Callithrix jacchus: one gene and its partners. The protein of the gene in region 3 binds, or shares a complex with, the protein of the main gene of each other region. Links are inferred from orthologs where the notes say so. Each region holds a gene or a part of one and is shown on either strand. Other genes may lie near its edges.

Evidence for each region.
Region 1: MED23 (region 3) and MED20 share a complex: the UniProt entries of both Homo sapiens proteins name them as parts of the mediator complex. The link is inferred for Callithrix jacchus from reciprocal best matches to the Homo sapiens genes MED23 and MED20.
Region 2: MED23 (region 3) and MED21 share a complex: the UniProt entries of both Homo sapiens proteins name them as parts of the mediator complex. The link is inferred for Callithrix jacchus from reciprocal best matches to the Homo sapiens genes MED23 and MED21.
Region 4: MED23 (region 3) and MED26 share a complex: the UniProt entries of both Homo sapiens proteins name them as parts of the mediator complex. The link is inferred for Callithrix jacchus from reciprocal best matches to the Homo sapiens genes MED23 and MED26.
Region 5: MED23 (region 3) and MED13 share a complex: the UniProt entries of both Homo sapiens proteins name them as parts of the mediator complex. The link is inferred for Callithrix jacchus from reciprocal best matches to the Homo sapiens genes MED23 and MED13.
Region 6: MED23 (region 3) and MED18 share a complex: the UniProt entries of both Homo sapiens proteins name them as parts of the mediator complex. The link is inferred for Callithrix jacchus from reciprocal best matches to the Homo sapiens genes MED23 and MED18.
Region 7: MED23 (region 3) and MED25 share a complex: the UniProt entries of both Homo sapiens proteins name them as parts of the mediator complex. The link is inferred for Callithrix jacchus from reciprocal best matches to the Homo sapiens genes MED23 and MED25.

What each region holds. Positions count from the first base shown.
Region 1 is NC_133505.1:50,414,872-50,418,371, reverse strand, and holds part of MED20 (mediator of RNA polymerase II transcription subunit 20), read left to right. Parts: intron 1-2,491; coding exon 2,492-2,745; intron 2,746-3,500. UniProt on the Homo sapiens protein: Component of the Mediator complex, a coactivator involved in the regulated transcription of nearly all RNA polymerase II-dependent genes.
Region 2 is NC_133510.1:44,221,742-44,225,887, forward strand, and holds the start of MED21 (mediator of RNA polymerase II transcription subunit 21), read right to left. Parts: upstream 2,801-4,146; 5' UTR 2,778-2,800; coding exon 2,736-2,777; intron 1-2,735. UniProt on the Homo sapiens protein: Component of the Mediator complex, a coactivator involved in the regulated transcription of nearly all RNA polymerase II-dependent genes.
Region 3 is NC_133505.1:138,246,474-138,249,973, reverse strand, and holds part of MED23 (mediator of RNA polymerase II transcription subunit 23), read left to right. Parts: intron 1-282; coding exon 283-428; intron 429-1,318; coding exon 1,319-1,564; intron 1,565-2,540; coding exon 2,541-2,683; intron 2,684-3,500. UniProt on the Homo sapiens protein: Required for transcriptional activation subsequent to the assembly of the pre-initiation complex. Component of the Mediator complex, a coactivator involved in the regulated transcription of nearly all RNA polymerase II-dependent genes.
Region 4 is NC_133523.1:15,191,303-15,193,625, forward strand, and holds the end of MED26 (mediator of RNA polymerase II transcription subunit 26), read right to left. Parts: coding exon 1,600-2,323; 3' UTR 501-1,599; downstream 1-500. UniProt on the Homo sapiens protein: Component of the Mediator complex, a coactivator involved in the regulated transcription of nearly all RNA polymerase II-dependent genes.
Region 5 is NC_133506.1:94,750,689-94,754,766, reverse strand, and holds the start of MED13 (mediator of RNA polymerase II transcription subunit 13), read right to left. Parts: upstream 2,801-4,078; 5' UTR 2,068-2,800; coding exon 2,002-2,067; intron 152-2,001; coding exon 1-151. UniProt on the Homo sapiens protein: Component of the Mediator complex, a coactivator involved in the regulated transcription of nearly all RNA polymerase II-dependent genes.
Region 6 is NC_133508.1:65,007,660-65,010,635, forward strand, and holds the end of MED18 (mediator of RNA polymerase II transcription subunit 18), read left to right. Parts: intron 1-1,603; coding exon 1,604-2,157; 3' UTR 2,158-2,476; downstream 2,477-2,976. UniProt on the Homo sapiens protein: Component of the Mediator complex, a coactivator involved in the regulated transcription of nearly all RNA polymerase II-dependent genes.
Region 7 is NC_133523.1:43,593,207-43,597,464, reverse strand, and holds the start of MED25 (mediator of RNA polymerase II transcription subunit 25), read right to left. Parts: upstream 2,801-4,258; 5' UTR 2,748-2,800; coding exon 2,614-2,747; exon of another isoform or gene 2,519-2,613; coding exon 2,473-2,518; intron 1,741-2,472; coding exon 1,616-1,740; intron 1-1,615. UniProt on the Homo sapiens protein: Component of the Mediator complex, a coactivator involved in the regulated transcription of nearly all RNA polymerase II-dependent genes.

The DNA of each region.
Region 1 (3,500 bases), about 88 Mb from region 3:
TCAAACTCCTAGCCATAAGGCATCTTCCTGCCTTAGCTTCTCAAGTAGCTGGTCTCAAACTCCTTAGCTCATGGGATCTCCCAGCATCGGCCTTCCAACGTGCTGAGATGACAGTCTCAAAATCCTAGCCATAAGCCATCCTACTGTCTCAGTTTCTTAAGTAGCTGGTCTCAAACTCCTGAGCTCAAGGGATGTGCCCACGTCGGCCTCCCAAAGTGCTGAGATGAGAGGCATGAGCCACCATGCCTGGCCCTTGTGCTCTTTGAGTGCTGTTTTGTGCAATTTGAACTCTAAAAGCAATGTTTCTCAGAGGGTTAATCACTGACTAACCACATCAAAATCACCTGGAATACATGTTAAGAGTTGCAGATTCCTGGCCCTGTTTACTGATTGACTGCTGCTTAGGCCACATAATCCACATTTAACAAACATCCAGACAATCCTCATGCACTCTGAAGTTTGAGAAAGACAGGTCTCGGGCCCAGAAGTCTTTATTTATTGTTTTAGAGCTTTAAGAGTTTCTAGAAGTTTCTGTTTACCTATACCTAACCATTGGCCTTGGCCTCCTTACTAACATAGCATAAATTAATTGTTCTCTTTAGTGTATTGGGTGGTGGGATGGTCTGTGGATGATGGGGGATGGTGGTTGGGAGGGAGAGAGGATTTTTTTTTTTTCTTTTTAGAGTGAAAGACTCACTTCGTTGCCTGGCTATACAGTGGCATGATCCCAGCTTACTGCAAGCTCTAACTCCTGGGCTCAGGCCATGAGAGAGACTCTTTGGATATGAGTTAGGGAAGTTGTTTCTCTTAGTCTTGGCTCTGCAGTAACTTGATCTTGAACAGTTCCATAGCATAGTGGTTATGATTGGGGAGCCAGAGTCCTGAGTCACGGCTTTGCGACATACTAATTGTGTACCTGTAGGTAACTCCTATAACCTATCTGTGACTGTTTCCACGCCTCTCATGTGCCTGTTTCCCTTAGATCCATTTCTTTCACTTCCCCTGCAAGCTGTATTTTCCAGGCCCTCTACTAGTTGGCTTTGGTTATTGAGAGGTGCCGAAGAAGATTAGAGGACGGAGGTTACAATGAGCCAATATTGCACCACTGCACTCCAGCCTGACGACAGAGTGAGACTGTCTCAAAGAAAAAAAAAGAAGAAAAGAAAAATGTTATTGTCTTTAATACTAGAAGTGCCTTTTTCATTAAACACACACAACCCTTCCCCTTAGTTGACTTTTAAGATATTTCTAAGACAGTAACACTTGCAGACTCATATGGTATGAATAAAATATGTAATTACAGTGAGTAGACATGAGAACAGAATGATGAGATCAGCTTTGGATGGATTTTTTTCTTCAGAGTCAAGAAGTTTTGAACTGGATTTAGAAGGAGGTGACAGGTGGGAACTGTCAGCAAGCAGTCAGGAGATGGGATGTGGCCTGGAGGATCTGTGTAGAGCCTGCTGTGTTCATGAACAGCAGCTTATATAGGGAAGTCACATGCCCTCTGTTCCCCCACCCCCACACCCTTTTCATTCCCACTGTCTTGCCCCCTGCCTAGAATGTCTTCTTTCCTTCCTGTGGCTGAATCCTACCTTCTCTTCATATCCCAGTTCAAATCATGGTAGACAAGACCTATCACAGCTTGGCTCCCGTCTACCTTCCCCTTACTGCTTCCATAGGACCATTTACTAGCTCTCAAAGAGGGAGGAACCCAAGGTGAGGAGGAGTGCACAGAAGAAGGGAGCAGTTGCTTCCTTTGTCTTGCCCAAATGCTGTTACTTTCATTTTACTTATTGAATGTATGATAATATACAAAAGAGTATATGGAAAGTCTTTGTAGACTTGGAATTAGACTTTACATATAGACCATCTGTGAGCCCACCACTCAAGAATTAAACCACCGCCAGGTGCGGTGGCTCAAGCCTGTAATCCCAGCACTTTGGGAGGCCAAGGTGGGTGGATCACGAGGTCAAGAGATCGAGACCATCCTGGTCAACATGGTGAAACTCTGTCTCTACTAAAAATACAAAAATTAGCTGGGCATGGTGGCGCGTACCTGTAATCCCAGCTACTCGGGAGGCTGAGGCAGGAGAATTGCCTGAACACAAAAGGTGGAGGTTGCGGTGAGCCAAGATCGCGCCATTGCACTCCAGCCTGGGTAACAAGAGCAAAACTCCGTCTCAACAAAAAAAAAAAAAAAAAAAAAAAAAAAGAATTAAACCATCATCAAAACTATTAAAGGTCCCTGTGTGCCCCTCACTGTTTTCGGTAGAGCACGGTGGATTTTACCACATGCTGCCTCTCCTGCTATTTCTGTCCTTACCTTTCTAGAAAAGGCTGCAGTGAGAGGATTCCGCTCATGCCCCACCACGACTGCCTAGGTAGTGCCAGATTGCTATCTGGCCTCATTCCGGGGGGATTCATTTGCTTTACTCTGGGGTTTGCCAGTGAAAGTCTTGATGATGAGCAGGATCTCTGTCCCTTGCAGGTCAGACCGGGAAGCTGATGTATGTGATGCACAACTCAGAGTACCCATTGAGCTGTTTTGCCCTCTTTGAGAATGGCCCTTGTCTTATTGCTGACACCAACTTTGATGTGCTTATGGTGAAGCTGAAGGGCTTTTTCCAGAGTGCTAAGGCCAGCAAGATTGAGACCCGGGGCACCCGGTACCAGTACTGTGACTTCCTGGTGAAGGTGGGCACGGTCACAATGGGGCCCAGTGCCCGGGGCATCTCTGTGGAGGTAAGACCTTGGTGAAAATAGGAGCAGGATATGCTAAGGGGGCTGTTTGGTAAAGGGCTCTGAAGATTTTCCAGTCCTTTATTTTGTTTGAGACAGAGTCTTGCTCTTTCACCCAGGCTGGAATGCAGTGGTGCAGTCTTGGCACACTCCAGCCTTGATTTCCAGGGGTCAAGTGATCCTCCCACCTCAGCCTCCTAAGCAGCTGGGACTACACCCACCTAATTAAAAAAATTTTTTTTCAGGCTGGGTGTGGTGGCTCACGCCTGTAATCCCAGCACTTAAGCTGAGGCTGGTGGATCAACTGAGGTCAAGAGTTGGAGACCAACCTGACCAACATGGAAGAACCCGCTCTCTACTAAAAATACAAAAAAAAATTGGCTGGGCGTGGTGGCACGTGCCTGTAGTCCCAGCTACATGGGAGGCTGAGGCAGGAGAATCACTTGAACCTGGGAGGTGGAGGTTGCGGTGAGCTGAGATCGTGCCACTGCACTCCAGCCTGGGCGACAAGAGTGAGACTCCGTGTCAAAAAAAAAAAAGTTTTTTTTAGTAGAAATGAGGACTTACTATGTTGCCCATGCTGGTCTCAAACTCTTGGGCTCAAGTGATCCTCCCACCTCAGCCCCCTAAAGTGCTGGGATTATAGTTGTGAGCCACCACACCTGGCCGTCAGTCCTTCTCAATTTAGACAGATATTTACCTGATCTCTAACTCCAAGGCATCTGTGCTGCTTCTCTGTGAATCGTTTATAATTTCTT
Region 2 (4,146 bases), on a different chromosome or scaffold from region 3:
GTCCAGGTTTTGCTAATTGTAATGGAGCAATAAGCGCTCAGCTGCTATACAAGTCTAGATCCTAATCCTAGTTCTATTAACTCAAGTAGCATTTATCATTTTTAAATTGGATACATTCTCATATTACAACATTGTTGTGAGGAACAGACAAGACACAAAAATATTCAACACAGTGGTTATCTGTTCCATTCTTCAAAAGCTCTTAAGATCCATTTAGTCAACAAAAATTTATGGAAAATAACTATGACAAGTATTGTATATAAACACATAGTAAATGAGACATAGCTTCTGCACTCAGTTTTCAGAGGGTAGAACAACTGTTAAAAGTTATACAAATAATTAATTATGATTAGAATAAATGCTTAAGAAGATTCTCCCTATTTTGGTTCACATCACTCCATATTCCAATTTACTTCAGAACCTGCAGTTGAAAACACTCAATTCATTGTAACTCCCTAATCACAAACTGTTTTTCCATCACTTAAATGTCTCCTGAATATACATTTTTTAACCTCCTGAAGGAGTATCTCTTTGAAAACATGATCGCGCTTATATACAGTAGGCACTCATACTAGTTATCCTAAATGCTTCTCTCCAAAATCCAATTATCAGTATGCTTAACCTAAAGTTAAGGCCATATTCACTCTGTTCTTACTATCCTTCTAGTTACAAGACATACATGAATATAAGAAATTTTCCCTAAAATAAGATTTCTATCCAGCAGCATCATTACAATTTGATTTTGTAAAACCTCGAAGGAGTAGTTCCCTGAAGGAGGCTGGCTGGCAGCCCAGGCAAGTCCCTGCAGGGTAGAATTTATCTTGATGAAGTCAACATTTAGAGACTGGTCCTCTCAGCCTTAAAAACTACTGTTAATCACCCAGAGTATATCAGTTTATCACAAGTAGATTCACACTCTTCAAGTGTGCAAAGCCTGATGTATTAACAAAAATACCAAGTTATTAGCTTACAGTGAGTGGGGGAAAAAAAAACTGGCACCAGCAGTGTAAAAGTGTTCCTATTTCTCCACATCCTCTCCAGCATCTGTTGTCTCCAGAGTTTTTTAATGATTACCATTCTAATTGGCATGAGATGGTATCTCAATGTAGTTTTGATTTGCATTTCTCTAATGACCAGTGAGGATGAGCTCACTCATAGGTGGGTGTTGAACAATGAGAACACATGGACACAGAGAGGGGAGCACTACACACTGGGGTCTGTTGGGGGGAAATAGGGGAGGGACAGCGGGGGGGTAGACAGTTGAGGAGAGAGAGAATGGGGAGAAATGCCAGATATAGGTGAAGGGGAGGAAGGCAGCAAATCAAACTGCCACGTGTGTACCTATGCAACTATCTTGCATGTTCTTCACATGTACCCCAAAACCTAAAATGCAATAATGAAAAAAAAAAAAAAAAACTGGCAAGGAGACCAGGTACTTAGGTTTTCCTCGCAGCATGTTTTCTCTGCAGCCCCTTATTTAAGACATTAAATCACAATTAGACAATGAGAAACATAACTATCGAGGAAAAACTATTTAACGGAAAACTATGTAATTTGTAATGGTAATAAGTATACCCACAGCCTCATAACGACGTCTTGATCAAAGGATACTATGTCAGTCCCCTGTGGTTAGAACAAAGCTGAAAATTCTTACCGCCTAGTGACATCGTAGCAGTCCTAACGCTGTAGCGCAATGCATTACTTAGTGCTCGCAGTGATGCTGGTGTAAACCAACCTACCACACTGCCAATGTATGAAAGTACAGCACATACAATTATGTAGAGTCCATAATACCAGATAATGATACTAACTGTTACTGGTTAATGTATTTACGGTTTACATAACCCATTCTTTAAGGGCCCATACTCATGATTGTATACGCATCCTTTGGCTTTGCATCTACTTTCCACTCAGGCAATACTGTGGAGGAAAAATAACCAGAAGGAACAAAATTGGGGAACTACTCACAAGACTTTGCCTTTAATAGAATAGAATTTGGGGGAGACATTAAAAAAGTGTTTACAGGCCAGGTGTGGTGGTTCACACCTGTAATTCCAGCACTTCGGGAGGCCAAGCGAGACAATGTCTCAAAGAAAAAAGAAAAAAGGACTCAAACGGAAAGGTATGCGAGAATTAGAAGATTTCCTATCATACAGATGTCCCCAAACTGATGTATTCTAAAGGGTGGCCAAGAGACAAGAGATGGAAGGAGACTCTGGGCCCATAGGAACGAGCTAAGACGAAAGATCTCTCACCTCACCTCAGCTTCGCTCCCGCACCAACCTGAAAGCGCCGACATTTCATTACAAAAACCCAGTCATCCAGAGCATGAGACCTCCCTTGGTGGATTAAAATTGATGAGGAAAGAAAAAAGCTTCGGCTTCTCCCCCAACTCCCAAAAGAAAGAGATTCCGTAAGCACCACTAATAATAAAACTGTCCTCAGGGAACACGACAGGACCGCGCAGCCCACAAATCTTGGCGGTCTGACCCGGACAAGAGCGACCTTCCCTGTCTCGGTCTCCTCAGGCGAAAGAGGCTGCCTCGCACGGCAGCCGGCTTCAAACGTCCAAGTTCGCGGTGGGGCCTCCCTCCATAAAGGGGGACACGCTCTTTATGCCGAAGCCGTGTCTCAGTTCGCTTCCTACTTCCAAGTTTTGCCTTTTGGGCCCCTTTCCTCCCTTGCTTTACCTCAGGAAAGAAAAGGACAGAGGTTAATCGAATGAAATTCCTCACCGAATTCACCGCGTCTTGCAGCTGAGTGAGCCGATCCGCCATGTTTCTCTTGCACACAAACAGACGCCGTAACAGCTGCTCTTCCGCGACTGGGCCGCTCTGGCACGCGTCTTGGCCAATCACAGGGCTGCGTTCTTGGAAGGGGTGGGGTCGGAGAGAACTGCCCGCCCTGTCAGGAGGGGCTGGGACTCCCCGAGCGGCCTTTCTAGAGCGGGCTACAGCTGGATGAGGCTGAATCTTTTTGAGTAACTGGGGAAGAATGGTCGCGGTCCAGTTGCTTTGAGGGGTTTCTTTAGATTTTTAGGTGTTAAAGCCTTCAGAGATTGTTGGATTCTGCGGAGATTTTTTTTTAGTGATTTCTCTTACCCTCATGTATTTATTTACTGACCAAATTGAACACTAGATATTTTTATATTATTTTTTCTTTATATATATATGTATATTTTATTGCGTTTTAGGTTTTGGGGTACATGTGAAGAACATGCAAGATTGTTGCATACGTACATACACGGCAATGTGGTTTGCTGCCTTCCTCCCCATCACCTATATCTTATATTTCTCCCCATGTTATCCCTCCCCAACTCCCCACCCCCCGCTGTCCCTCCCCTAGTTTATATTAATTTTTTTATATCGTCTTGAAAGCTTCCGTTGCTTTTGCTTTCTAGGTTTCAATAATATAGTCAACATTATTGAATATAAACTTTATATTATTAAAAGTTTCAAACATATTCAAAAGTAGAGAGTGTAGTGAACCCTCGCATACCTTTCACCAGCTTCAACAGTTTAGCAACTCACAGACAATCTTGTAGATACTTTGGGTTTTACATTTGTAGTAACTCTCTATTTATTTTTCAGAAAAAACCTTTAACAAGGTTTCCAGTGGACCACAAAGCATATACACAGCAAGCAAACTCGAGTACTTGGGAGTCACAATATGGACTTTAAACAAATATGAGGTTACTCCTCTAACCAACCTTCATATGTACCCCTGAACCTAAAAATTAAAAAAATAATAAATTAAAATTCATGAGGCAATCATGAAGAACAGGATTAGGGTGCCTTCTCTGTCACCTTTGAGCTGAAGAGGTTGGGGCTACCCATATGGAGACTGGGTGCCCACTTTCATTCTGAGTGGGGTGGGCTGGGACAGGTGACACTCAATAAACAGAAAGTGTCCAAAAAGGTCAGGTACTAACCTGGGCAGTAGTGACCATGTGTGAAGAAGAAAGGAAGAAGAGCATTTAGAGTTACGAGGGAAAGTTTAAGTGTAGGTAATTAATAAGCTTCTTTGGTTTCCGTGACAGTGAGGAAATCCCTGTGAGGAACAGAGGAGGGTTAGTGGAGAGGAGAGTGGAGGTTTCACAGTATATTGTTGCAAAAGAGATTCCTGGAAAATAAGCTAGATGCATTG
Region 3 (3,500 bases):
ATTTTTGTTTGAGAATGCTCTGTGATTGTAGGAAAAGCTTGACAAAGCACCTGTGAATTTGTGTTACTTTCTTAGCAAATAAAAACATACCAAATAAAGCATCTTGTAATAGTTTCAAAATTTTATGGCTGTTAGACCTTCTGATTTGTATTATTGAATTATTGGGGCTAAAGTAAGATATGATATGTTAAAAAGAGATATATCAGAAATTGATTACTAAAATACATATAATCATTTAATTCTTCTCTTTCTTGTATTATTTTTCAAATCGTTATTTTTCAGTATATCCCAGTTCCTGATATTAATAAACCCCAGTCAACCCATGCCTTTGCAATGACTTGCATTTGGATTCATCTCAATAGGAAAGCTCAAAATGACAACTCCAAGCTACAGATTCCAATACCTCATTCCTTAAGACTTCACCATGAGTACGTTATTAGTTGCTTGATATTTAATTTTCTCATTTAATTAATAGTGGATTGCAGACTAATATTGGTGTCAGTGTCTGTGTGAAATTTGGAAATCTCCCCATACCCACTAGAGGTAAGGGCGAATACTTGATGTATATGTCATAGCAAGAGAATCTGGCCAGTACCTGTATCAGGAAACAGCTACAAGATTAGTCTTGCTTGTATGGTTTTTTTTTTTTTTTAAATTTTCATGGCTGATCTTCAGTTGTGTATTTAAAGTTATTGATATAATGAAAGCATATCAATTTTTATAAATGTAAAAATGTTTCAGAATTTCTCAAGTGCTTGGAACTTGAGCATGAGCTGACTGAGATATCACTCATCACTGGGCTGCCAGGATTGATTGAGCTGATCTGGCTGGCATGACCCTTAATATCTCTTCCAAAGTTAATATCTCTTCATAGAAGATGGCAGGGTAGTCAGACTTGATAATTTCATTTGGTTTTCATTTTATGAGATACCCCTTAACCACCTTTTCATAGTGATATCTGTAATGAAGACATATTGTTGTGTTTATAGAGAGAGATAATAAATAGAATCCTGGTTCATGAACTTGTGAGTTATTTCTTCATTCTCTGAAACTTAGCCTAATACGGTGGCTGTATATGTTTGTAGTATATACTTAACAGATAATTATTAATTGTTTATTCAAAATTATTTTTCTTCTGAAATGCTACCCAAATGTCTGTGTATGTTCCCACTCTACCTTTCACACAGAAACTATAATACCTATAGGAACAAAGATAGCATTAATAAATAATTGCATAAAATTGAACTTTTAAAAAGTACAAATTAACATTATGGAAATAATTTTCATTTTTTCTTTTTAATGGAACGTGAATTTTTAGGTTCCTGCAGCAGAGTCTGAGAAATAAAAGTTTACAGATGAATGACTATAAGATTGCCCTATTATGCAATGCATACTCTACAAATTCAGAATGTTTTACATTACCCATGGGAGCTCTGGTGGAAACTATTTATGGAAATGGAATTATGAGGATACCTCTCCCTGGAACAAACTGTATGGCTTCAGGATCTATTACCCCCTTACCTATGAACCTCCTGGATTCACTGACAGTTCATGCCAAAATGAGGTATGTTCTTTTTATTAATTTGGTTCCTCGTCAGGTAATTGCTAAGAGTATAGCATAAACCTTTATTTCATGATTGTGTATATTATTTTATGTTCAGGTACATTTAAGAAAATAATAGCTTTATTTTATTACAAAAGTGAATATTTCGTATTATAGGAACTCTAGGATTAACAAACCCAAAGAAAGCAATTGTTATAATCTCTCCATGAGAGATAAGCATTATAAAAATTTTTTGCACATATTCTTTTCTTTTTCTGTGGATGGTTAAATACGAGGACCAGTGTCACTAGAGCTTCCAACATTTTTGAGAAAGGCTAGAAATCCAGATTATTTTACTACTAGTCTTTCAGCTTTTTAGTATTGGCTCAACTTTTAAAACAAACACTGTATAGGCCAAAGAGAATTTATCTTTGAACCTCCAAGTGGAGCATCAGTTCTAGTAGAGCTATACTCATTTTCAAATGGTAACTATTGTGATAGAATTACACGTGCTTCACTTGCATATATAACAGATTTGAGCAAAGCCCCATTAGTACCTAACATTTGGGTCTTTGCAGTGATTTATTAAAGTAAAATCTGTGACAAAGTTATTTCATTTCCCAAATGTATTTTGATGCATCATTTGAGTGACCAAAATCCTTTAAGCATGCTCTTAGGAGTTTTGTTTGTTTGTTTGTTTTTGTTTTTGTTTTTGTTTTGCTCTTAGGAGTTGAACCCAAAGTTTGTTTATCCATGATCAGGGGGATACATATGCACATTGAAAGCACTGTAGAAACCAGAGTGAGTCTCAGGTTTCTAAGACTAAGGATGTGGTACATCCTTACCAAGGGTCCTGCACAACTTAAACACATTAAATGAATCAACTTCATTTGAATCATTTAAGTTCAAACGTATACTAAGTTCCTTCTAAGTAGAGTAGCCCCTGTGTTTATGTCAAAAATATGGATTTTTATTTTCTCCCCTTTTTTCTTCTCAGCCTTATTCACAGCATTGCAACCAGGGTGATAAAACTTGCTCATGCAAAATCCAGTGTGGCCTTGGCTCCAGCCCTAGTGGAAACTTACAGTCGTTTATTGGTCTATATGGAAATAGAGTCTTTGGGCATCAAAGGATTTATCAGTAAGACAGGACTTTGTGGTGTTTATAACTATTAACACATTCATTAACTCAAAAGGTACTTTTCTAGGTCCTGGGGGCACAGCAGAGAACAAGTCACCACCATGATGGAGCTTATGGAGGGGGACATTAAAGTAAATAAATGAAATATGCAATATGTCAAATGTTATATATCATAGAGAAAAGTAAAGCAAAAAAAGAGGAATAGGAAGTGTGAGGGTCAGGGGGTTTGTGGCATTTTTAAGTAAAGTGGTAAGAAAAGGTTAACGTGCTACTTGCCTGGGATGCAGTGAGCAGAGTAGACATGGTCCCTGTCCATATTCAAATGGATTCTGCCCGAAGCAGTAATGCTGTCCTCCAGTGCATACTGAGGCTGACTGGCAATAAAGAAGGAATTTTCCTGCATTGCAGAAGATACATTATAATGTCTTTTAGTTATTATATAGTTCAAAATAATACATACTTTCTAATATAGACATTTTTTCTGATTCATGGTAATTACAGCTTTTCACCAATGCAGCATAGTTTTGATTTTAACTACAGTAAGTCTTCTTAAATAACTGAATGTTGATGAAAACTTTGTTGGGGGTAGGAGGAAACAAGGGCAGGTGTAATACAATTTTTGTATTAAAAAGTGAACCTCATACTTCAAAAGGTATGGAACATTAACTGTCTCAAAATAATTTAAAAGATAACAGAATTGAGAGTTTTTTTTCATATCTTGTCTCATTTTATTTTTCCAGATATATCAGTTGCCAAATTCCAGGAAAAAAAAAAAAGCAAACTCGATATTATAATTAGGATCTGAATTTTTCCTTAC
Region 4 (2,323 bases), on a different chromosome or scaffold from region 3:
ATGACCTATTCCAAAGTGAGAAACTAGAAAACCAGTCTTAGCTTACAGTTTTGGGGATGAGGGACAACTAAAATATTACCACTCCATAGCCAAGAGAGAAACATTTTTTTGGTGTCAGCACCAACCAGCTAGTAAGGCAGCTGAGGGCCAGGGCCAAGGGCTGGGCTGCCGGACACACACACAGCTCTGAGCCTCTGGGCCATCCCTTGTAAGAACTTTGTTGAGGTGGGAGTAGTCAGAGACCTGTGCTATGGAGCCTGCTCTCTACGCCAGTCAGGTCTGGGTGAGACAAGATAAACGTTCCTTAATGTGCCCCTGAATGAATAAAAGGTTCCTCCCAAATGCAGCAGCAGGCTAACAGGTGGATTTCAAGGCTATGCCCTACCCTGTCTCCCTATATCCCAGCTGTTGGAGGGTCTAGGTCTTCCTGGCTAATCCACAATCCAGGAAAGGGCTGATTTGGCAGTGAAGGGCCAAATAAGAAAAGATTCTCATACTGGTTTGTGCAAATGGGTTTTTTTATTTCCACATTTATATCACAAGGTGTCCACTTACTGGACCAAATAGCAAAGTTGCTCCCTTCTGCGTCCTGAGAACACAGAAGTCTATGTACTGTACATTCACTAAGGCTCCTTGTTTTTGCAAATCGCGTTTATGACAAATAACCATAAGGCAAACGAATCTAAAGGAATGGTTATGAGTGTTTCCAGCGTACAGACAGGTCTGCCCTCTCGCCCCACAGTACAGCATAAAACCAGTAGCACCCACAGTAACTTTTGTGTTGTTTAGGGGGGACTCTAGAAAGGTGAAGTTTTCTAGATGTGTACAGGAAGGGAAAAAAGGAAAGGGGGGAAGAAAGGAAAAGTTTGTTTGGTGGTCTGATGGAAGAGGAGTTAAACCCAAAAAAACTTAAATTTCTGCAGCATTTCTGTAAATACTGGGTTATAACTGAAACCAGATATAAACAGGTGGCTGCCCATGGAGTTGGGGTCATATTGGTTAGCCAGCTGGCCTCTCTGCCCAATGCCAGTGGCTCGCCACAGCTGAGGAGCTTCTGGCACACGATGGACAACACTGGCCTGACAGTGGCTGGGTAGGGGCAAACAGAGGCTGTGGCATGGCCCACTGTCTCTCAGACACTCGGGGCCAAATTAAAGAACAGGAAATGCAAGAGAGATGAGATGCGTGCTTCTGTTGCTGTGTTAAAGGTAACCTCTCCCACAGGTTTTCTGTGCCTGCCTGCAACTGAGGTCCCAGCATTCAGGTGCTGGAAAGTGTCCGCACCTCTTCAGGGGTGAGGGACTAACGCTTTTTATAGCTGGTTTGCTATAGAGTTCTGAACTCACTTTGCCGTCCTTCCTTCCGCACGGTCCTTCCTTCGCAATTTTGTTAGTAAACTGGTAGCAGCATTTCACAAAAGGAGAGTTTTGAGGGAAGGGTGCACAGAGAGACCACATGACTCCCGCCCCCTCCCTCCTGCCCAGGCCGGGCTCCCCGAGTTCCCAGCCGCAGGAGGCAGCTGGGCCCTGGCCACCCGCCCACCTGCCTGCCCGCCTGGCTTCTGCAAGATGGGAATGCACTTTGTGGCTGACGGGCCGGTCAGTCTAAGCAGACATAAGGCAGAATGTTCAAGCGCCCATCGTCACCGTGAGGATCGAGCGATATGCACTGCGTCCAGTCATACCAGTTACCCTGTGTGTCCTGACACCCGTTCACCCCCGGCCACTGGCTGGCCTGGATTCTGTTTAGATCGTCCTGTGTGACCTCCCGGGTCAGCCCAGGGAGGTCCGTGGGCGGGCTTTGAGGCACCAGCACGTGCAGCTGCCTGGCCCCTCGCCGGGTGCTCTCCTCCTGCTTCAGGTACTCAGACATGAAGTGGTGAGCCCCCGGGGTCTGTGCGCCCGAAGATGAGAGCAGGCTGCTCTGCCGGCTCAGGTAGGACTGGATGATCTCATTGCGTGACAGCTCCTTCCAGTTCGTCTGTTCGAAGGGGCTCTGGAGGCTGGCCTTGGCCTCCTGCTTGTCCAGCTCTGTCCTGGACGGCTGCTCCATGTGCACAGGGCTGTCTGCCCGCACTGGCTCTTTCTGGGTCAGAGGTTTGATCTGTCTTGTCATGGGGTCAAAGGTGAGCTTCCGCTCTTTTAACCGGACAGGCTTGACGCCCGCCTCGGCCACCTGCCCGTCCAAGTTAACCGTGTAGTCTCGAGGCCGGTACCTCTTCTTCTTTTTACTGTCCGAACCCCCAGAGGAGGCAGCATCACTGTCCGCCTTGGAGGAGTCTGGGGAGAAGCCTGCCCGGGACAGGAGGGGCTCGGCCGGGGAT
Region 5 (4,078 bases), on a different chromosome or scaffold from region 3:
GATCTCGCCGCCAAACACCAAGTACATCTGCCTTAAGGCAGCGACTAAAACTGCTCAAAATGGGGTCTTCTTCTGTCACAGGAAACAGAATAGGGGCAGAAGTTGGGCCTTGCCATACATATCTTTTCCATTTAATTCCCGTCAAGTCAGCCTGAAGGAAAGAAAGCATGATGTTTTATTATTGCACATTCACTCAAAGTCAAAAGTACTCAATATGACGTCTCTATTTCATTAAGGCGTTACAATTTTTCAATGTATGCTAGAGATATTGAATGCAAATGAGGACAAAAAAAGACTTTATAATTCAACAACCAAGAATTTTAGGGAAAAGAACACTATTAAAAATTAACAACCACCACCATGTCACTGATTAATAAGCAAATATGTACCCCAGTAGAAACAAAAGAAACTGAATGAAGTTAAATATAGACATACACTTCAATATGTACACAGAACATACATTTTTCTCTGTCCTAACTGGTCACATTTGTTCATTGGTATGAAACTTTTAACTGAGAATCAATGATTAAAGACCCTATCATGGGTTTTTATTCCACATTTACAGGATTAATGTCTCTAACAAAGAGACATCCGAACAAGTCCTGAAAAAAAATCCATGTTAATTCTTCACACACACCCAATCGGAAAAGTCAAATAGCCGCTCACAAAGAACTGTGAGATTTGTGCTAGTCTATCTTCAAAGAACCTGATCCTAAAAGTACCAAAAATAGACTGCGTTGGATAACATAGAAATATAAAACCCGGTGTATGTCTTACTATATGTGAAGAGATGCTGATTAATGGACATTGAAAAGAAAAACATATTGTAGAAGAGTATTAAAGATCTCAATTTAGCATCCGGAAAGAAATTCGACAAGAGTAATTCAATAATTATTTAATCTAACTTAAAGGAGCAAAGCATAAGGTGCCAAAAATGAAACTGCTGATACATGACTGGCAGTTTACACTTGCCAACTAGTTGTGCTCCGCCCACTTGACTCACTTACCTATCACATACTCTTTAATACTTCTCATAGCACAAGGGAGAAAATGAAAAAATAAAGTCACCCAAACTTAAAGTCATTGATGAAGCTCTCAGCTACTGTCCCATACAGGACAAGTTATTTGCAACAGTTGGTACTTTTGAAAGTCGTAACTGTTGGATGTTACCAGACCCGAGCTAACTTACACAATGGTCATCCCTACATGCAGCTTCCCCCGACTTTCCATTTCAATCAAACAAGGAGCAGCCTGCTCAAAACATTCTAAAAAAGCAAGCAAAACACAATAAATATAGAAACAGTGCAAAATCACAGCACCTCATCCATCAGCCTCCTCCACTCTCACAAAAACATTATGTTCTAATAAAGGCAAGATGGCTAGAAATTGTCAAAAACGGCAAACTGTTTTGAAAGTTTAAAAAGAAACATATGAAATGGCACCTACTGGTTTTTACAGAGATCTGAAGTCACCCAAAAAAGAAACTAATCTTGCCTTAGCTTGACTTATACCAAAAAAAAAAAAAAAAAAAGTAAAACGAAGACAGGTTTCTAGGGCATAAGTTCTGGGGTCCTGTTTACATGGGGAAACCAAATTACCAGGGTGAGACATAAAGGCAGTGGGGAGCAGGGGCAATAATGGAAAGCGTGAAGCAAGGATACAGTACCGGGCCAATAAAGAAAAAAGCAACAGTTAAGCAAGACAGAGAGAAAGGTTAGTGTTCTGCCAGATCAGGAGCCCAAGTTGAGGACGAGACTACGGTGAGGAAGAGAGTCCGAAACAAGACAAGAAAAAATGCCAACAGTCCCCAAACAGAGCCCGGCACCGTGGGAGAGCGAACACCGTCTCCTAGGGTTGCCCATGGAGCTTCGCAGGGCGCCGGCTCCGGCTGGGCCTCGCCCGGGGACTCGGGCATCTGGACCAGACCCGGCCCCCTCCCCCACGGCCCAAAGGCGCACCTCGCGGCCCCCTCCCTCGGCGCCCGCCGGCCCCGGCACTCACCAGGCAGAAGAGGTTACAGTGACAATCTTCCAGGCTGGCCCCGTTCGGCACGAAGGAGGCACTCATCGTCCCTCACAGCAGCCGCCGCCGGCGCCACAACCCACCATCCGCCATTACCGCCGCCTCCGACCAGAGAGAGAAACACAGACACCGGGGAGGGCGAAGGGGGGGTAGTGGTTGGGGGGGCGATGGAAGAGGAGGCCGCCGGGCCGCCCGCCCTCCCCACCCACCCCCCGCCGCCGCCGCCGCCGCAGCCGGGAGCAGCCCCCGCCGCCCGGCCGGCACCCAGCCGCCCGGGGCCGAGGGCCGGAGGCGGGAGGGCCGCGCCGCGCTCGCCTGGCGGGCCGGACTGCGGAGCCCGCGGACGCTTGTCCCTCTTTGGGGGACGGATGGGATGTGTGCCCCTACCGCAAGAAAATAATAAATTACACAATAAATAATCAAAATAGAGTCCGAGACGGCAGAGCCCAAGCCCTAGAGGGTTCTCCCGGGCGGGGAGGCGCCCGCACAGAGGCGGAAAGGGCGAGAACCGGGAGAGCCCAGGCCCCCGGCCCGGCAGCGGCGATGTCCTTAAGCCCAGAGTCTCCTCAGCGGCGGAGGTGGTGGCGGCGTCTGCGGGCTCACACCATTCTCTGGCTGTCTTCGTGTCGTCCCTGAGCCGAGCCGGTCTAATGTCTGCCCTCCTGCGGCCTCACCGCCTGGACGCCGTAGTCTCCCCCATTTTGTGGGCCCAGCGGGCGGTGATTTTCCCCCTTTAATCCGAATTCACGGGTTTTCCCTTCGCTTTAATGGCGGCCACAGGGACCAGCTCGCCCTCTCTGCTCGCCCATTGGCCGCCTTGAGGTCACGTGGGCCCGGACTCCGTGGGGAGGGGGAGAGAGAAGTGAGCGAGGGAGCGCCGGGAAGCTTTCGGCCGAGGCGGTGAGCCCGGGGGACGGGGCAGCCAGCCGGTGGCTACTAACACAGCGCCATCTGCTGGGTGCCTCGGCCAGTGTAAAATGACCCGGGGCCCTGGCCGTGTATTTGCGAGGAAATTTACAGTCCAGGAAGGTTCATTTCACAAATCAATGAGAATTACGTAGAAATCATTTTGAGTTCTTTGGAAGAGAAAGTGTTGGCAAAAATTCCAAGACATTCTCATTTATTTCGCGAGGCTGCTGGGGTGCAGCGCAAACCTCTGGACTTGGGAGTCAGACGATCTGGATGGGGACAAGACTCAGCCACCTTAAAGTTGTGATATGAAGATAGAAACTTAAGAGACAAAATATTGCCCTGTAGTTAATAGGCTGGGAATTAGAGCCACACTGCCTGGGTTCCACGCTTGAGCAAGTCACTTCCTACTCTGTGTCTGTGTCCTCATCTGTAAATGAAGAAAACATACCCCTTACCCCACAGGTTTATTGTAATAAGTTAATACAAATTAAGCAGGTTGCCCAGTGCCCTGCACAGATAAGCATTGTTAAGGGTTACTATTACTGTTGTCATCATTACCTCATATAGTTATTGTGAGGAGCAGAACTAGTGTATGTAAAGGTCTCACTACTTTTTTTTGTTTACTTGTGTCTATCTAGTGCCTAAAAAAAGGTCCTAGCACACAGTAGGTGCTTGATATTTGTATATTTACAAATGACTGGGTGATAAGAAGTAAGAACCAAGCAAAAGGTTCCTTCTCTTTCCCATAAAACACTCAGTGCTTGGCTGGGTTACATTTCAATATAAGAGTTCAAGACAGTTTCTCTGAGGGTTGTAGGATTACAAGAAACAAAGAAGAAGAAAAATATGACTCAGAAGTTAGAAACATCGGTGAGTTAGGTCTTGTATTAAGTATTACAGATACGTAATTGTATCTGTTAAATGAATGGTAAACTCTTCTATATCACTTCTTCAGTCATAAATTGAAAAGAAGTTCTCATTCATCCATTTGTTCCTCTGTGGTGGTGAAGAGCCCAGATCTGAAGCCCAAAGCCTGGAGAAAAAGTTCTGCCCCTCACTAGATAGCCTTAGATCAAATTAATTTCTCTTACTCTCAGTTATTGTAAAATGGGGGTAATAAAAGTACTTTTCTCCTAAAGTGCCT
Region 6 (2,976 bases), on a different chromosome or scaffold from region 3:
ATATGCTGAAACCCCAACTTGAAAAAAAAAAAGAAGAAGAAGAAAATTAACTTTACTTGCAGTGAGCCAAGATTGTGCCACTGCACTCCAACCTGGGCGACAGAGCGAGACTCTGTCTCAAAAGAAAAAAGATGACACAAATGTCACATAGGGAGGAAAAGAGTATTGATACAAGAGAGGACTAATATTGAGTCCTAGTCCTCCAGTGTTTAGGGAAGATGAGAAACACCAAGCAAAGAAGACTTAAAAGGAATGGTCAGCGAGTTAAGTGAAGAACCAAGAGAGTTGTGTCTCAGAGGCCAAGGGAAGAATAGATTTCACAGTGGGTATAATCTACTATAACAACCATTTCAGATGTTGCCAAGGGGATGAAGATTCTATGAAGCAATTAATTCTCTCCTACTTAGATACAGAAGAGGAAAGCTTTTCCTGATAAAAAGGAAACTTTAGCTGGGCGCGGTGGCTCACGCCTGTAATCCCAGCATTTTGGGAGGCCGAGGTGGGCAGTTCACGAGGTTAAGAGATCGAGACCATCCTGGCCAACATGGTGAAGCCCCATCTCTACTAAAAAATACAAAAATTAGCTGGGCATGGTGGTGCATGCCTGTAATTCCAGTCACTCAGGAGGCTGAGGCAGGAGAATCGTTTGAACCCAGGAGGCAGAGTTGCAGTGAGCTGAGATCATGCCACTGCACTCTAGCCTGTGACAGAGCGAGACACCATCTCAGGAAAAAAAAAAAAAGGAAACTTTATATTTCTTCTATAAATGAAAGACTTTTATTTGTTGGAAATTGAAGGCAATTGTTAAAGTATATGACAACAAAATAGTGTTATTGGCTGGGCATGTTGGCTTACGCCTGTAATCCCAACACTTTGGGAGACCAAGGCCAGGAGTTCAAGACCAAGCTGGACAACAATGTAGTGAGACCCCATTTCTATAAAAGCAAATAAATAAATACATAGCTAAAACAGTATTATTAATTTTTTTTTTTTTGAGATGGAGTCTCACTCTGTTATCCAGGCTGGAGTGCAATGGTGCGATCTCTGCTCATCAAAACCTTCACCTCCCAGATTCAAGTGATTCTCCTGCCTCAGCCTCCCGAGTAGCTGGGATTACAGGCACGCGCCACCACACCCAGCTAATTTTTGTGTTTTTAGTAGAGATGGGATTTCACCATGTTGGCCAGGGTAGTCTCAATCTCCTGACCTCAGGATCTGCCCACCTCAGCCTCCCAAAGTGCTGGGATTTCAGGCATGAGCCACCATGCCCAGCCAGTATTATTACATTCTAGATAGACACTGTAGCTGATTAAAGGCTCTAAGTCCAAGGCATGTTGGAAATTAGCATTAGAGAAGGCCTAAAGACTTTGTAGTACTAAATAAGAAAATTCCAAAAAATTGAAAAGGAAAATAATAACTGTCTCACAACGTTATACAATATTTTGCTAGTGTAACTCCTCTAAAATCTCATGTGTTGGCCCTATGTGTTGTGAAATGCTTCACTAAACTGCTTTGGTTTTTCATTTTAATTTTTTTCAATTTTATGCTAATTCCATGACCTAAAAGGAAAGATAGGACTCAGAGGTGCTTTTTCCCTTTTCAGGAAGTGTTTTAGATCACAGTTTGGAAAGCCTCATCCACCGCCTTCGTGGTTTGTGTGACAACATGGAACCTGAGACTTTCCTTGACCATGAGATGGTATTCCTCCTTAAGGGCCAGCAAGCCAGCCCATTTGTTCTAAGGGCCCGACGCTCTATGGACAGGGCAGGGGCACCCTGGCATCTGCGCTACCTGGGACAACCAGAAATGGGAGACAAGAATCGCCACGCCCTGGTGCGAAACTGCGTGGACATTGCCACGTCTGAGAACCTCACCGACTTCTTGATGGAAATGGGCTTCCGCATGGACCATGAGTTTGTTGCTAAGGGACACTTGTTCCGAAAGGGCATCATGAAGATTATGGTTTACAAGATTTTCCGCATCCTGGTGCCAGGGAACACAGACAGCACTGAGGCCTTGTCACTTTCCTATCTCGTGGAATTAAGCGTAGTTGCACCCGCTGGACAGGACATGGTTTCTGATGACATGAGGAACTTTGCAGAGCAGCTAAAACCTCTGGTTCACCTAGAAAAAATAGACCCCAAGAGGCTCATGTGACTAAGAGAATCTCTCCACATTTGGGGCCTGTCCTTACTTGTTTGAAAAAATGTTTTAAATGCTCCATTTCACCACTGCCAGCATTCTTCCTTCAGGGAGGAGGATGCCTCGTGATGATTTCGTTTTCATGACAGCCTTTCTACATTAAAGGCTCAGGACATCACAGAGAATCTATCTAATCCCACTGTATAAAGAGGAGAAACTGGAGTAAATTAGGTTTTGGAAATAAAAATTTCTTGTTTGGCCATTTGTGTGTAAGGTTTATAACATTAGAGGCTGTGAGCTTGTGCTATATGGTAATAAAGGCAGTGGCCTCGAATTTTGTTTAGGAAGTCTTTATTTACCCCTAGGTAACACAGATTTTCCTTCTTAGCTTTATAGTTTTAACTTTCACATTGAGATCTTTAATTCATCTAGAGTCCATTTTCTAGGGGGTTTATAAAAACCCAGGTTTCTTCTCCTGGCAGTGAATTCGTTTTTCTACCACCATCCAAAGAACAGTGTTCAGTGCTTTGTGCTGCTACCATTGTCACATAGGTTTCCATGTAGGTATTTTATTTTTAAGTTCTCCATTTCATTTCATTTTTTTTCTTTGTTTCAGTGACAGCAACACAATGTTTTTATTATTAAGGCTTTATAGTAGAGCCAGTTCTACCAGTAAGGCAGGTACCCTTCCCTTTTTGTCCTCTAAAATGGACTTACAGTGTAGTGTAGTAATATTTCAAAAAATAATAATAAAAGAAAATAGACTTAGCATCCAGGTATGGTGGCTCATGCTTATAATCCCAGTACTTTGGCAGGCAGGACAAGAGGATTGCT
Region 7 (4,258 bases), on a different chromosome or scaffold from region 3:
GAGGTCACGAGTTCAAGACCAGCCTGGCCAACAAGGTAAAACCCCGTCCCTACTAAAAATACAAAAAATTAGGCAGGCGTGGTGGCAGGTGCCTGTAATCCCAGCTACTCGGGAGGCTGAGGCAGGAGAATCACTTGAACCCAGGAATCAGAGGTTGTGGTGAGCCAAGACTGTGCCACGGCACTCCAGGCTGGGCAACAGAGCAAGACTCCATCTCAAAAAAAAAAAATTAGCCAGGTGTACTGGCACGTGTCTATAGTCCCTGCTACTCCAGCTACTCAGGAAGTTGAGGCGTGAGTATCACTTGAGCTTGAGCCCAGGAGGTCGAGGCTGCAGTGAGTCGTGACTGAGCCACTGGACTCCAGCCTGGGTGACAGAGTGAGACCCTTCCTCAAAAACAGAAGAGCCCTGGGGGCTTCCTCTTTGCGCTCTCTATTGGCTCACTCAATCTGAGGAATGGCTGTAGCCATGTTACAACAGTCAAGCTCCGTGCAGAGGTCTCGCGGTCAACAGCCACCGTCAGCCACCCTGGGAGGGGCCTCCCCACCACCAGTCAAACCCTTGGATGGCTGCAACCCTGCCGACCTCTTGACACCCTCAAGAGGTGCCTTGTGACACCCTCAGCCGAACCATTCAGCTAAGTCACTCTTGTGTCCCTGACTCAGAAACTGCGTTAGATAATGGACGCTTGCAGTATGAAGCTGTTAGGTTTGGCGGTGACCTGTATGCAGCTAAGAGTAAGTACTAAAACACAAGTACTACCCGCATCCTGCTTCAGAGGCGAGAGGCTAGGCACAGTGGGGACAGGGCTCCTGGGTCTGAGAGTTAGTTCGGTGCTGGAAGAGCCAGGATTTGACCCCAGGCTGCCTGACTCCAGAGTCTGCAACATCAACTATCAAAATCTGATCCGATGCCAGGCATGGTGGCTCCCGCCTGTAATCCCAGCACTTTGGGAGGCTGAGGCAGGCAGATCACGTGAGGTCAGAAGCTTCAGACCAGCCTGGCCAACAGGACGAAACCCTGTCTCTACCAAAAGTAAAATTAAAAAAAAAAGTAGGTGTGCATAGTGATGGGTGCCTGTAATCCCAGCTATTTGGGAGGCTGAGGCAGGAGAATTTCTTGAACCTGGGAGGTACAGGTTGCAGTGAGCTGAGACTGGGCCACCACACTCCAGCCTAGGTGACAGAGCAAGACTCTGTCTCAAAAAAAAAAAAAAAAAACAATCCGACCCAAGCCACAGAGGGATGTATCCTGGCTCTGACCCATCCCTCTGCACTGAGGCTACAATGTACCCATCTGGAAGAGGAGAACAAGGGCAGATGGAAAAAGAGAGGACAGAAAGGGGACAATCACACATTCAGTACAAGGTGGCTGCTGGAGCTCAGTCAGGCCTCCCTGAACGGGAAGTTTTTCATGCTTCTAAACCGGATGGCAACATTGCTGAGCACACAGAACCCACCACAGAAGTGACTCTTGACAAAAACACAATGACCCTCACAGCCCTTTCAATCGCCTAATGTAAAGGGATGGTTCTTGAAGCTTAAACCCAAACCACCTCTCATTCACAGTCCCTCACAGGGTCCCCCAACCCAGCCCAAGTGGAGAAAAAGCTCACTTAATGCCATCCAGCCAGGTGACAAACTCATAGGCGCTGCTGGTGGGAGCGTGACACTGTACGTAGGACTCAGGAGCGCAGTCCACCGTGTTGAACACCACGAGGCTGTACTGGGTCCCCCCATACTGGGAGGTGGGGACAGAGGAACTTTTAATCTGGGACCTCAATTCCCTTTTCCCTCAGAGAAGGAATCAGGGCTCCCAGCTTCCTGTTCTTCCAGAATCAGGAACTCCTCAGCTTCCTCCTTCCTCAGACCCAGAAGTCCAGGCCCAGCCCCTCCTCCCTCACATACAGGGGTCAAGTCCCAGCCCCTCCGCCTTCAGACCCAAGAATCCAAACCCCCAGTCCCTCCTCCCTCAGATCCAGAAATACAGGTCCCCAGCCACTCCTCTCTCAAATTCCGGAGTCCAGGCCCAGCTCCTCCCCACTCAGACCCAGGAGTCCAGACCCCCCGACCTCCTCCTCCCTCAGACCCCGAAGTCCAGACCCCAACCTCCTCCTCCCTTAGACCAGGAGTCCAGGCCCCCAGCCCCTCCTCACTCGGACTCGGGAGTCTGGACCGCAGCACCTCCACCCTCAGACCCAGGGGTACCGGCCCAAGTGCTTCTACCCTCAGACCCAAAAGTCCAGGCCCCTAGCCCCTCCTCCCTCAGACCCAGGAGTCCAGACCCTGACCTCCTCCTCCCTCAGACCCGGGAGTCCAGGCCCCCAGTACCTCCTCCCTCACACCCGGGAGTCCAGACCCCGACCTCCTCCCTCAGACCCGGGAATCCAGGCCCCCAGCCCCTCCTCCCTCACACCCGGGAATCCAGGCCCCCAGCCCCTCCTCCCTCAGACCCAGGAGTCCCAAGACTCACGTCACCCCCGAAGTCCGTCTCAGCAGGAGGACCACCATTAAAATACCTGTGAGGGTCGGAGGTGAAAGGTCGGAGTCAGGCCAGAAGCTGTGGGAAACTCTAGTGGGAGGGCGGGGTTCGAGTCGCGGAAACGGCACTCACTCGATGGCCGGGAGCAGGTAGTGCTTGCGGAGCCCTTCGAAGTAGGGTCCCAGGTTGGCCGTACCCTCAATCACAAACACCACGTCGGCCACGAGGCCCCCGGCGCGGGCCGGGCCCTCGGACCCGGGGACCATACCCCGCGCGGAGGCCGCCACCGCCACTGCCGCCGCAGCCGACACCGCGGAATGAGGGGAAATGCGCCTGCGCTGCGCGCGCACCCGCGCCGGGCGGTTGAGGGCTGCTGGGAACGCACGGGCGGCCATATTTGTGCGGGGCACAGGTTGAGGCTTCGATCTAGCTCCATCCTCCTTCGCCCTAACCCGTGGAAGACTCAGCAAGGACATAGTTAGCCCTTTTGGGGGGCCTGATGGGTTAGACAAAATCATTGTCAGGATTGTCAAGAACGAAATAAGTTGAAGGCGGCACAGTCGGCTGCCATCTTTGAGCGGGGCGTCTGGGCCCGCCTATTAGCTCAATGGGAGGGGCAGGAGACCTGGTTGCTATGCAACACTAACGCTGCCCTTGTTTTCGTTTTCCTTTATCCTTTCCCCCCCCCCCCCCCCCCACGAGACGGACTCTCACTCTGTCGCCCACCCTGGAGGGGAACGGCGCGATCTCGGCTTACTACAAGCTCCGCCTCAGCCTCAGCCTCCCCAGGAGCTGGGATTACAGATGCCCACCACCATGCCCCGCTAATTTTTGTATTTTTCGTAGAGACGGAGTTTCACCATGTTGACCAGGCTGTCTCGAACTCCTGACCTCAAGTGATTCGCCAGCCTTGGATTCCTAAAGTGCTGGGATTACAGGCGTGAGCCACTGCGCCCGGCCCGCTGCCCTTGTTTTCTAACCATGAGATTAAGTTTCTGGTTCTGTTCTTTCGTGCGCGGGGACTGGGGGGAGGGACGCGAGAAGGGTCCAATCGCAATGGCGGAAACGAGGTTACTAGGCAACGCTTTAAGGTTGCCCTTAACTTGGAAGGGAGGATAGTAGTTTTCCTCCTGAAAAGAAGCTGAACACGAACCCAAGTGCAAGGGTTACTAAGCAACACCTGAGCGTTGTTTTCCGGGCGAGGAGCCAGAAACTAGCCTAGAACATAAATACATTCCAGGTGGATTAAGAACATAAGTGCAACAAATAAAACACGAAAATAGCTGAAGGAAAAAAATCCTAATGACTGCCATGAAGTTTCTCAGCAAAGTCAGAATACGTAAAATATTAATTTGTCCGCAAAAGATTGCATAAAGCAAGTTGAAACATATACCACGAACTGGAAAAATCTAGCGTGTTTGTTGACAGAAATGTACTACACAAATCTTACCGATGAATAACAGTATAGAAAAATAGAAACACTTCATTGTTTTTTTTTAAATTTTATTTTTTGAGACAGGGTCTCTGTTGTGCAGGCTGGAGTGCAGTGGCCATTGCAATCTTGGCTCATTGCAGCCTCTATTTCTCACACTGAAGCCACTGTCCTGCCTCTGCAGCAGCTAGGACCACAGCCACGCACCACCACTCCTGACTAATTTTTAATTTTTTTGTAGAGGTGGGGTCTCGCTATGTTGCCCTGGCCTGTTTCAAACTCTTGGGTTGAAGCGATACTCCCGCCTTGGCCTCCCAAAGAGCTGGGATTACAGGCGTGAGCCAT